3 linked regions of the Cricetulus griseus genome follow. The protein of the gene in region 1 purifies or fractionates together with the protein of each later gene. This does not show direct contact. Links are inferred from orthologs where the notes say so. Each region holds a gene or a part of one and is shown on either strand. Other genes may lie near its edges.

What was found.
Region 2: the proteins of coronin-1A (region 1) and Ift57 purify together in Homo sapiens (affinity purification with mass spectrometry; 3 studies listed by BioGRID and IntAct, counting the BioPlex papers as one, with this or other methods). This does not show direct contact. The link is inferred for Cricetulus griseus from reciprocal best matches to the Homo sapiens genes CORO1A and IFT57.
Region 3: the proteins of coronin-1A (region 1) and Poc1a purify together in Homo sapiens (affinity purification with mass spectrometry; 3 studies listed by BioGRID and IntAct, counting the BioPlex papers as one, with this or other methods). This does not show direct contact. The link is inferred for Cricetulus griseus from reciprocal best matches to the Homo sapiens genes CORO1A and POC1A.

What each region holds. Positions count from the first base shown.
Region 1 is NC_048596.1:74,040,001-74,044,254, forward strand, and holds the start of coronin-1A, read left to right. Parts: upstream 1-1,382; coding exon 1,383-1,580; intron 1,581-2,418; coding exon 2,419-2,541; intron 2,542-2,625; coding exon 2,626-2,755; intron 2,756-2,844; coding exon 2,845-3,029; intron 3,030-3,148; coding exon 3,149-3,268; intron 3,269-3,440; coding exon 3,441-3,545; intron 3,546-3,646; coding exon 3,647-3,792; intron 3,793-3,876; coding exon 3,877-3,934; intron 3,935-4,045; coding exon 4,046-4,254. UniProt on the Homo sapiens protein: May be a crucial component of the cytoskeleton of highly motile cells, functioning both in the invagination of large pieces of plasma membrane, as well as in forming protrusions of the plasma membrane involved in cell locomotion.
Region 2 is NC_048597.1:41,436,625-41,440,270, forward strand, and holds part of Ift57 (intraflagellar transport protein 57 homolog), read right to left. Parts: intron 2,766-3,646; coding exon 2,643-2,765; intron 1-2,642. UniProt on the Homo sapiens protein: Required for the formation of cilia. Plays an indirect role in sonic hedgehog signaling, cilia being required for all activity of the hedgehog pathway.
Region 3 is NC_048597.1:214,487,237-214,490,882, forward strand, and holds part of Poc1a (POC1 centriolar protein homolog A), read left to right. Parts: intron 1-1,196; coding exon 1,197-1,368; intron 1,369-1,655; coding exon of another isoform or gene 1,656-1,707; coding exon 1,708-1,887; intron 1,888-2,797; coding exon 2,798-2,905; intron 2,906-3,646.

The sequences.
Region 1 (4,254 bases):
GGGGGCGGGCGAGCTGTCAGGGCCACCGGGCTGCGGTTCAGGGAACCTGTTCATGAGCCTCGCCGGGAGGGCCCGGGACCAAGGAGTGTGAAGCGGCAAGCAGGTCCCAGAGTGCTCCAAGGTGAGGGCAAAGGACCATCGTGACCAAGATGGAGGTGGGCGCGCTGGGAGCGGCCACAGCTGGTCTCGGGACCTGTGTCCCTGGGAGGGAGCTTCTGGGCGATGAGGGTGGGGGCCAGGGTGGGGTGAGCCAAGTAGCTGCCCCAAGCTTTGAGACAGGAAGGGGTTGAGTGCAAAACAAGAAAAGAGCAAGTTCCCCTTTCCGTGGTTTCCGGGCTTGGTACCTGGGTGGGGGAGGAGGCCGGGTGGGGCACATCTTCCTGCCCCCACCTCTAGGTTGGGGTTTCTCCCAAATCTAGACTGCTTACTGGGGGGCTTATGTCCCCTTGTCTTGGAGACCTTCACTCATGCATTTCACCTGCTTTCTGTGTAGACCTGGGAGCCTCCTTAGGGTTAGCCGAGTGGGTGAGGGTTAAAGTCCCAGCAAGAAGCCCCCCCCCCCAAGGCAGAGCAGATGGGCGAGGCTGGGGAGGTGGGCAGAGAGGCCCTGGGCAGGGTGCTTTCCATAGGGCAGTTAAGACTCCTTCACTAGGGAGGTGGAGGGATTGGGCACAGGGATGGGGATCTAGAACACAAGCTGCCCCTGGGCTTCACTGGCTGGCTGCCCAGCCACAGTGGGTAACCATCTTAGCGGACCTCAGGGAAGTCATGTTGGGCATCCCCATCCTTGAAGGAAGCAGAGATGGTACAGAACACCTGCTTTTTCTGAGCGGAGGTTAAGAGGCAGAGGTGTGGGGAGATGTTGGGACCCAAGCCATTGCTGCTTCTTGTGGCCAGAAACCTGGGGAAGCCATCCTGCTACTTCATTCCCTGTTAGGCAAGCTGGCACACATCTTCCTGTGTGCCATCCCTGAGGGAAGGCTAGGGAGGAGCATCCCTGCCCTGCCTGTAGGAAGTGCTGTATGGCTGTGTGGGATGTAGGGTCTGGAAGAGGTCAGTAGGAGGGAACTCGCCTCCAGGGTGTCAGGACCATTGGAAAGGAGGCACTGTTTCAGCCAAGAGCCAGCCCCTAGGTGCTTACACTATATCAGGCTCTGTTGTAGGGGCTGATGGTGCAGGATTGAGGGTGTGGCTTCAAGTGTCTGGGAGTTTGACTGAAGAAAAACTGGGGAGGGTAAGCAGGCTGTCAGTCATGGAGAGTAGGTCAGAGTGCCTCAGTCATGATTCGGGAACCCTAAAAGCCAGGCTAAGGGTTGCTCTAGGGATAACAACATTTGGCCAGAATTGACTCTGAGAAAAGTTTATAATCTGTGTCCCTCAGGATGAGCCGGCAGGTGGTTCGCTCCAGCAAATTCCGACACGTGTTTGGACAGCCAGCCAAAGCTGACCAGTGCTATGAGGATGTGCGCGTCTCACAGACCACCTGGGACAGTGGCTTCTGTGCTGTCAACCCCAAGTTCATGGCTCTGATCTGTGAAGCCAGTGGGGGAGGGGCCTTCCTGGTGCTACCCCTAGGCAAGGTGAGCTTCTGGTACAGCAGCTCTCCTGGGGAGGTTTCTGCTGTCCACTGAGGCGGTGGGATCCTGAGTAGGCACCTGGTACCAAGCCTTCCGAGGGTCAGTGCTGTTACCTGTAGGATGGGACAGGGCCATTTGCTCCTTACGCTCTCTGGGGACAAAATGGGGGTGGGGGCAGGTTTCAGGGCAGGGCTGCTCCAGGGTTTTCAGGAGCGAGAACTCCAGGTCTGGCTTGTAAGGAACTGAGCCTCCGGGGACTCACCAAGTGTAAGCCCTGGCTCACAGGTGGAGATGAGGCAAAAGCCCTCTAAGCCCGTACTACCCTTTAGCCCCAGTACACTCCTGGGCTCCTCAGGGGGTGAAACAGGAAGGGGAGATGGGCCCCGAGTTGTTACCTTAAAAGGGCCGATGGAAGCAGAGGAGAAGAGGAAGTGGTTGTCGGGTGAAGCTCGGCCCTGCACCCTGCACTGTTCTCTACACAGGAAGCAGTTGGCCCTCGGAAGAGGCCATTTCCAAACCTCTGCTGCTGTCCAGAGGCTTGGGACAGATTAGGGTGCATCCCATAGATCCCCACCCTCTCCTCTTGGGGACCCTAACCCCATGCTTGTCCTGGGCCCAGGGCCTGTGCCACCCACAGATGACACCAAGATAGAGGGGGTCAGGATCTCATGCTGCTTGGTGCTAGCCTTCCTGGAACTGGGACAGAGGTCAAACCCTCCCCACCCCAGTGCTTCCAGGGACCCCACAGCCTTCCTGTGTGTCCCTTTGCAGGGGTGTGGGGAGGTTGGATTGGGTCTGGAAGTCAAAGCACCTCCATCAGAACCCTTGCTGTGTCCTCCAGACTGGACGAGTGGACAAAAATGTGCCCCTGGTTTGCGGCCACACCGCCCCTGTGCTAGACATCGCCTGGTGCCCACACAATGACAATGTCATTGCCAGTGGCTCTGAGGACTGCACGGTCATGGTGAGTTTTGGTAGGAATGTGGCTAGGAGGGGTCTTCAGGAAAAACCTGGTTTTTGAACCCGAGCCATTTGCCCCTTTCTGTAGGTGTGGGAGATCCCTGACGGAGGCCTGGTACTGCCCCTGCGGGAGCCTGTTGTCACCCTGGAGGGACACACCAAGCGGGTGGGCATCGTGGCCTGGCACCCCACAGCCCAGAATGTACTGCTCAGCGCAGGTGCTGTAAGGGTGTGTGTGTGGGGGGGGGCAGCTAGGAGCCTGACAGGAGGGCAAAAGCTCATAGTTCACCGCTGGCCAATTGTGCAGGTTGTGACAATGTGATCCTGGTGTGGGATGTGGGCACTGGGGCAGCTGTGCTGACACTCGGCCCAGATGTGCACCCGGACACGATCTACAGTGTGGACTGGAGTCGGGATGGTGGTCTCATCTGTACTTCCTGCCGTGACAAGCGTGTTCGCATCATTGAGCCTCGAAAAGGCACCATTGTGGCTGTAAGTTGCCATGAACCCTAAACCTTGACCCTTGGATGTTGCTCTCCCTGCACCCACCTAGGTTCTAGTCTCTTGGTGAGACTGTGAGAAGTTGACCCACCATATTTCCTTCCTCTCAGGAAAAGGACCGTCCTCATGAGGGAACTCGGCCAGTGCATGCTGTGTTTGTATCAGAAGGAAAGATTCTAACCACAGGTTTCAGCCGCATGAGCGAGCGGCAGGTGGCGCTGTGGGACACAGTGAGTGCAGAGAAAGGGAACCCTTTAGATTGGGAATCAAGGCTGGAGGCTAAGTCTCTGTCTTATCACTGAGGTGGGGAGTTTCCATTGCTACTGTGGGTCCTTTCCTACTTACTGTCCAGTGAGGACATGACATGGCCCAGCCTATTGCTACCCCCACCTGTCTCTACAGAAGCACCTGGAAGAGCCACTGTCCCTGCAGGAGTTGGACACCAGCAGCGGAGTTTTGCTGCCTTTTTTTGACCCTGACACCAACATTGTTTACCTCTGTGGCAAGGTACTCAGGAGGGCTGGGGGCAGGGAAGTGGGTAAGTGGCGTGGTGAACACAAAGGCTGGTGACCTGTGCTGGTACTGACTCTAGCCCATACCACCGACAGGGTGACAGCTCTATCCGGTATTTTGAGATCACTTCTGAGGCTCCGTTCCTGCACTATCTTTCCATGTTCAGTTCCAAGGAGTCTCAGCGTGGTATGGGCTACATGCCCAAACGTGGCCTGGAAGTGAATAAGTGTGAGATTGCCAGGTGAATGATCCCCTCCCCCTTTCTGACCAGACCTTCAGCACCCACTCATGCTGTATAGTATTACTCATCTTCCTGTTTCCACAGATTCTATAAGCTTCATGAGCGGAAATGTGAGCCCATTGCCATGACAGTGCCTAGAAAGGTGATGCTCCTATGCTCCTCCCTGGGCGCTAGGACAGGAACTGACCACGGGGGTTGTAGGGAGGGGCAGGAACATAAACACTCTCATGACCAGCCTTGGCCTTGCCCACAGTCGGACCTGTTCCAGGAGGACCTGTATCCACCTACGGCAGGACCTGACCCTGCCCTCACAGCTGAGGAGTGGCTGGGTGGTCGGGACGCTGGCCCCCTCCTCATCTCCCTCAAGGATGGCTATGTGCCCCCAAAGAGCCGTGAGCTGAGAGTCAACAGGGGCCTGGACAGTGTACGCAAGAGAGCCACACCAGAGGCCAGTGGCACACC
Region 2 (3,646 bases), on another chromosome or scaffold:
GTTAGATGTATTATTTTCCAGTCCTATAGGTTGGATATTTCTTTCCTAGCAGTTTTGTTCAGATCCTTTAGGGTATTTCTTAATTTGATTGTTTCCTTTTCTGTCCTGAAGCTTTTTAATTGTATTCAGATTAGCATCCAATGAGACCTTTGTCTTTAGTCGAGCACCACATTATTTGTATTTTTGGCACATATTCTTTTTCCTAATTCTATTTTGTTTCTGCTAATATTAAAATTAGTTTCTATTCTTTGGAAACAGACAATAATAGCAAGTAGTGCCATATAACAGACACATGCTGCTTTAGCAAAAAGAACCGACTAAACCATTATGGAAAGATTACAAAGGAAAACATTGGCATATGATGGATTCTGGTTGGCACAAATGTAATATGTAAAAAAAAAAACATATTCCCAAAAGATTCTCTCTTTTTTTTTAATTCTCTACAAGAAAACATAGAAGTAATAAACTTAGCTTGAGAGGAAAAGTGAAAAAAAATTATCCTGTGGCAGACAAATATGAAACTTATTTACTACTAATGTAAGGTCATTTAAAATAAATTTATAATGAGTTTAAATAATGAGACCCTTTATTATGTGCCTCTCAAAATCTCTAATCTATTCAAATATTAATACATAACCAGTAAAACACATTGATTCTTCAAATATTTAATTTCTTTTTTCTTCCCTCAATCATGAAATAAAAAGGATTTCTGAATGCCTCAAAGTCTCCTGTGCTAAGGGAAAGTTATTGACCAAATAAAGGCCATGGTTTGGGTAGGATCAAGAATAGAGGCAAAGTAGGATGTGACCAGAAGCTGTAGCAACTATCAGTGACAATGGGTCTGAGAAGAAAGGTTACCCTTTTTTAATTTTTTGAGAAATAACAATCCATTTTTTCAGTCACTAGATTCTTTATGCTTTTCAGTCATGGTATAATTTCATTTTTCTTGAGCTACACAAATATTGACCCTAATGCCATGCTTTCCCTGGGGGTACATCTGAAAGGCTCAAAGAAAAAGAAAAAAAAAAAAAAAGGATGCTGGGGAAACACTGTCCATAAGGATCGAATGACTCAGAAAAGAATTCTGATGAAGCAATCAAGTATGGCTTTGATCAGTATATTTTAACCATAAAAATCAAAATTCAAACTAATATCCTCATATCCCCCAAATCCAGAGACATCAATATGCTTGATTGTATAAATAATTTGGCACAGTCAATCGTCAATCCTAAGCTTGTAGCATGTGGTGAGAGTCAGCATCCAATTCTAAATTAGTTAATTATTTCCCAAATCAGAAGGACACTTATTCTTCACAAATCCAAAATTCTGAGTTGGTCTACTCTAGAATCTGAACTACACATAGTTCTGCAAAACAATATGGTGTTAGAGGCTATGCTTACACCATTTCTTTCTTGGTTATCTCTAGTGTGTGGAAATCAATGACTGTAGTTAAAATACACTCACAAAACCCATTAGGTTCTAAATGAAATGTCTGACTCTAAGAGTATACTTAGAATGAAAGTAAACAAGCTAAATTTGCTCTCTTCTGGGATTCAACTGTTCCCAACTACACAATTATTTTAAGATATTATTATATCTGGAATCACAACAATAGTGAGTTTTAATTTCATAAAGAGAATTTGTTCTGATAAAACCCTAAAACTAGGCCAGGCCTTGGTGGCTCAGGCCTTTAATCCCAGTACTCGGGAGGCAGACACAGGCAGATCTCTGTGAGTTTGAGACCAGCCTGGTCTCCAGAGCGAGGGCCAGGATAGGCTCCAAAGCTACACAGAGAAACCCTGTCTCGGGAAAACAAAACAAAACAAAACAAAACAAATCCAAAAACTAGAATTGGCATTTTTTTTCCACAAAAAAGGAAACACATTACTCTTAAGCTCTTTATGCAGAGATTATTAAAATTGTTAGTGAGAATTGGATCATCAGCTCTCCTATATGCTTTTGCTTGCACCAAAGTAATTACTTATGATGCCATAGGCCAAAGAAAACAAAAACAGAAACAAAACAGTACCTTGATTCAGAAGCAGCTCCTTTTCTCAATTACCATATCCTTGTCTTATTATATATTTCTTGTCTTCCTAACATTGACTGGAGTTCTTGACCCCCTTGCCTTAGCCATCTGAGTGCTGGGAATACAGGCAGAAATCCTGCCCCTGGCTTTAACTTCCAGTTGCATATACTGTAGTACAGATTATCTAAGACAACATCTAGGTTACAATAAATTATGCTAAGCAATAGTTCTAAAATATCTTTTAATTCTAATCAACTGGTATCATCACGGAATTCCAGTTCACCTCAAGAGAATACGATTTTCAATAAATCACATTGAAGTTATTGACAAAAATCCCTCAATCCAAGTGAAATAGCATATGTTTCAAATCCTTTCAAAGATTTTTCTTCTCAGACTGTATTACAGTATTCATTCAATAATTTGTTAAACCCTTGTAAGATAAAGCACAGATCAGGCAATGAGGCACATGTCTATAATTTCAACATTAGAAAAATCACAGGCCAGCATCCTGGATACTGACCCCTCCCCATCCTTAAAACTGTGGTGTTTTCAACCTGAAAGCACCTTATAAGGTGGTTTCTTGGAGCATATGTGCTCTCTCTCTCTCTGATACCTTATTGTCAGTCCTGATCGTGACTTTCAGTTGCGGTAGTACACGCTCGACTTCTAGACTCCATTCCGCAGCATCTGTCGTAGACTCCAAAATATCTTCTTGTTTGGCAGACTCGTTTGTGTCCTAAGAAAGGAAAGATAGCACAAGATTTGGAGTTTATAAAAAGAACTGGAGAAATCTTGAGGCATTTAAGCAGCACTGCACAATTCAAATCGAGGATAGTAGTGTTAAAATTATAGTGCAGTAGAGATTCTTCCTACCCAGGTTACAAGAAAATTAGGTAGAATAGCAAAATAAGCATTTAAAATGAGGTAAATATATGATGTAGACATTTTATAGTGGACATTACTTTGGAAATATCGGATTAAACTCAATGATGATTTTACCAGCTAGATACATCATTTAGGAATTCTAACTGGTATCAGCAGAGAAATACAAATACTCATGCTTGGTAAGAAAATGTTAGTTGAATTTCTGACACAGAAACACAAAGACAAAATGTGAAAGAAAAAGAAGATACAATTTCAGACACAAAGTGTTTATTATTTATTGACAAACTATATATTCATAATTGTACTAATATTTTGGCTAAGTCAAAGTACAGAGCACTTTAAAAATGTGGCATAACACAGACATGCTTGAGCTCCAAAGGGTAAGGGTCTTTGGCTTCTGACCTTGAACAACAAAGTCAATTCATGGCTGTTGAATCACAGAGAGAAAAATCTCCCCCACTTCCCTGTCCCTGCCCCATTGCTTTTCTTGGCCTTGCATACTTTAGCGCTAAATATCAAGAATCTAAAAATGTAGAAAATTTCCACATTAATGATTTAAAAACAAAGCCAAAAGCATTAATTTTGAAGGCAGTTTTTCCTCTTTAAATTCCCTTGATCAATCATAAGTGGCTCTAAATATAGTTATGTATAATAAAAGAAATACAAGAAGCATAAATAGCTAAATACATGAAGCGTATATGAATTCTAATTAAAAATAATATGTAAAATATT
Region 3 (3,646 bases), on another chromosome or scaffold:
ATATATACAGAGGCCTTGGTGCAGACCCATGCAGGCTCTGTGCTGGTCAGGCATCCTTTGAGAGATTAGGGTCTAGGTTTTCCCCTGTACATCTTGGCCACTTCTTGGGTCTGCTCTGTGGCAGGGATCCCAAACTGGCTCCTTTTCCTTGAATCTTCAGTTTGATTGTCCACAGTAATATGGTATATTTTCTTGTACCTACTACTAGTGAGAAAGTTGTTAACAAGGTCCATCTCCCAACTCCATACTGCTGTCCCTTTCTTATATACACTGGTGTTCCTAAGTAGCTTTCTGGCTGCAGATTTCTTTTTCCACGGATTAGGCTTGCCACTTTATCTTTTTTGTTTGTTTTTGGTTTTTTGAGACAGGTTTTCTCTGTGTAGCCTTGGCTGTCCTGGAGCTCATTTTATGAGGCTCATTTTATGAGGCTGTCCTCATAACTCACAGAGATCCACCTGCCTCTGCCTCCCAAGTCCTGGTATTATACCACTTCCCAGCTTGCTTCTTTATCTTATTGTTAAGGTTTCCTGCCAGAGGCTGTTGGTGTAATGGTTTGCTGTAAGCAAAAAGGGAACTGAAGTCATTTTTTTGTCTGTTCTTTCTTTTTTTTTAATTTATTTTTAGATTGTCTTATTTTATTTGTATGAATGTTTTACCTACATGCATGTCTGTGTACCACAAGTGTGCCTGTTGCCCCCAGAGTCCAGAAGAGGACATAGGCTTCCCTGGAACTGGAGTTACAGATTGTTGTGAGTTACCATGTGATTGCTGGGAATTGAACCCAGATCCTCTGGAAGAGCAGCAAGTGCTCTTTACTGCTGAACCATCTCTCCAGCCCCAACCAAGTTGGTCCTTTCAATAGTAAATGACCTTTGTCTGACTGGCTCCTGAGTATTGGGAGGACTTCGCCCTGTGCTCTCAGAGTATCAATGAGGAGACCCCACAGTACAGAAATGGCATGTGAATGGCCTGTCACTCTGGTTCCTATGTTGGCATGGAAAACTGCCAGGCCCTAGCTCTCCAAACTGTATGTCAGCAGTTATAGGGTGTGGGCACTCCCACTGGGATTCTTTCCATTGCTCTGCTGGGGATGCTGTGAAGGTAGAGCTGGGCCTGCTCTCCTGTATTCCTAGCAATGTGGTAGGTGATCAAGATTCTTGAGGTCTGAGAATCATCGTGTTACCCACTCTCCTCAGCCAGCGGCTCCATGGACTCATGCCTCATGATTTGGCACATGAAGCCCCAGTCACGTGCCTACCGCTTCACGGGCCACAAGGACGCTGTGACTTGTGTGAACTTCTCCCCATCAGGACACCTGCTTGCCTCAGGTTCCCGAGACAAGACTGTTCGAATCTGGATACCCAATGTGTGAGTTATGGGCCTCAAGGGACTAACAACGCTGAGGGACTTGGTATAAGAGCTGTCCCTCCTTGGGTCTTTACCCTGGCTTTGAGCTGGTCACAGTGGGACATGTGACCTCTGAGAGAGGCTAGCAGAGGGCTTCAGTTGGGGTTGTCTCCTTATGATGAAAGGACTCCCACAAGGGGAGAGGTGGGAGAGAAGCACTTTGTTTCTGTTGGGGAGGCTCTTGCTGTTCTGGGGAGACTGGGACAGTCAGGCCTAGAGAGGTAGAGAGAACTTTGGTGTACTTGTAGGTCCTCATGTCACTATTAGGAATCTCCTGAGTCTGGATATCTATCCTCATAGCAAAGGTGAGTCAACCGTGTTTCGAGCACACACGGCCACAGTGAGGAGTGTCCACTTCTGCAGTGATGGCCAATCGCTTTTGACAGCCTCTGACGACAAGACAGTCAAGGTGTGGTCAACTCACCGCCAGAGATTCCTGTTTTCCCTGAGCCAGCACATCAACTGGGTCCGCTGTGCCAGGTGAGCATTCCCTGTCTGGAGAACCTGAGAGGATGTAAGGGTTGTGGGGGACAGAGAGGAACTCTGAGTGTCAGCCTGTTTGGGGCAAGTTGTATAGCTTCCCTTTAGTGTCATAGCTCTGCTCCAGAGGAGAAGGGGTTACGGTGGCCAGAATACTAAGAAATCATGAAATTCAGAGTTAGGGAGCATGGAACTATCTTCCTCTGTGGATTCATGGAAGTTACTTATTCCCTAGGACAGAACCATTCTTTATTCTTGGAGGGTCCTGTTCTTAGAGGTCTTATGGTCAAGGACCTAAGAATGGAGGGGAGGGGCAGGGGGCAATCCAGAAAAGTGGGGTATTATGATCACAGTTGGCCTTTGACGGTAGGTTCCAGGACCTCCATGTGTTTTTGTTGGCCTGTTGTGTTTTGCTGATGTACTGATGTGGGGCTCCTGACCTCCTCCTCATTAGCAAGCAGTACCAGTGTGTATTGCTGCAGGCCATGTGCCTCCTGGGTGTTGTGTGTACTGTGCTGCTCGTGATTACTGTGGGCATTGGCAAGGATGGATCTCACCGAGGGAAGCCACTTGCCCAGGATCACTGAAGGTATTAGGGCAGCATGTGTAACCCTAGGTCATTCCTTCCTGGGTCAGGGAGCTGAGTCTAGTGGTGTACACCTATAAGTCTCAGGACTTGAGAGGCAGGAGGACTGCCACAGTTTGAGGCCAGCCTGATCTACATAGAGTGTTGCAGGCCAGCCAGGGCCCCATAGTGAGGCCCTGTGTCAAAACAACAATAACAATAACACAAAATGCCCAAAGAATCCCTAGATCAGGTATCAGCATGCTGGGAGAGGTGGCTGTAGAGAACATGGTGTCATATTCAAAGTGTCTGTTAGTAGTGTGACTTCTGCCCCATTCAACTTAGGTTCTCCCCTGATGGGCGGCTCATTGTGTCTGCCAGTGATGACAAGACTGTCAAGCTGTGGGACAAGACCAGTCGGGAGTGTATCCACTCATACTGCGAGCATGGCGGGTGAGTCCCTGTTGTTGTCTTCCATCTGCAGCTGCTCCTGTACAGGTCAGGGCATGCATGAGGAAGCCCAGTGGCCTTTAGGGACTGGGACTGTGGAGAGGGCAGCCCTACTTGCTGCTCTTTGGCTGACTTGCCTTTTGTAGAGCTTTGTGCTTTTCCTTTGCAGATAGACAGTTAAGTGTGGTCCCCACAGATAGAGAAACACTTCACCTAAAGTCATGCAATGATTTGGCCTCTTTTCCCCCCTTAAATTTCTAGTTCTCAGAATGCTAATGTGTCTCTCAGAGCATTGTATCAGCCCCCTAAACTGATTTGTCAATGAAAGCCTCCGGTTCTTGTAGCAGGCAGTGGCTCTTCCTTCTGTGCCACATCCTACAAGCAGGAGGAGCCTGCTTCTGAGCAGGGATTTAGCTTTTCTAAGTGTCTAAGTGGGCTGCAGCTTTACTCCTCATTCCTTAATGAGCAGGGGCCCCTTAGAGTGCCCAAGTGTCATGGATAGTGCATTGAAGGCTCTTGGCCTGTCTTTTGAAGAGAGATGGATGAGTAGTCCTTGTAGCCCAGGGGGACCTTCCCCACCCATGCCTTAGTTGGCAGGACCTGTCTTGGATCCAGCCCTGGCAAAAGGAACCCCAGAGCAATTTGACTGATTTGTTGGTTTGAAGATCACTGTTCCCACTTGTACTTAAAGCTCAGCAGTGGGCTGGCTGGGCATGTTACACACACTTGTAATCTCGGTACTGA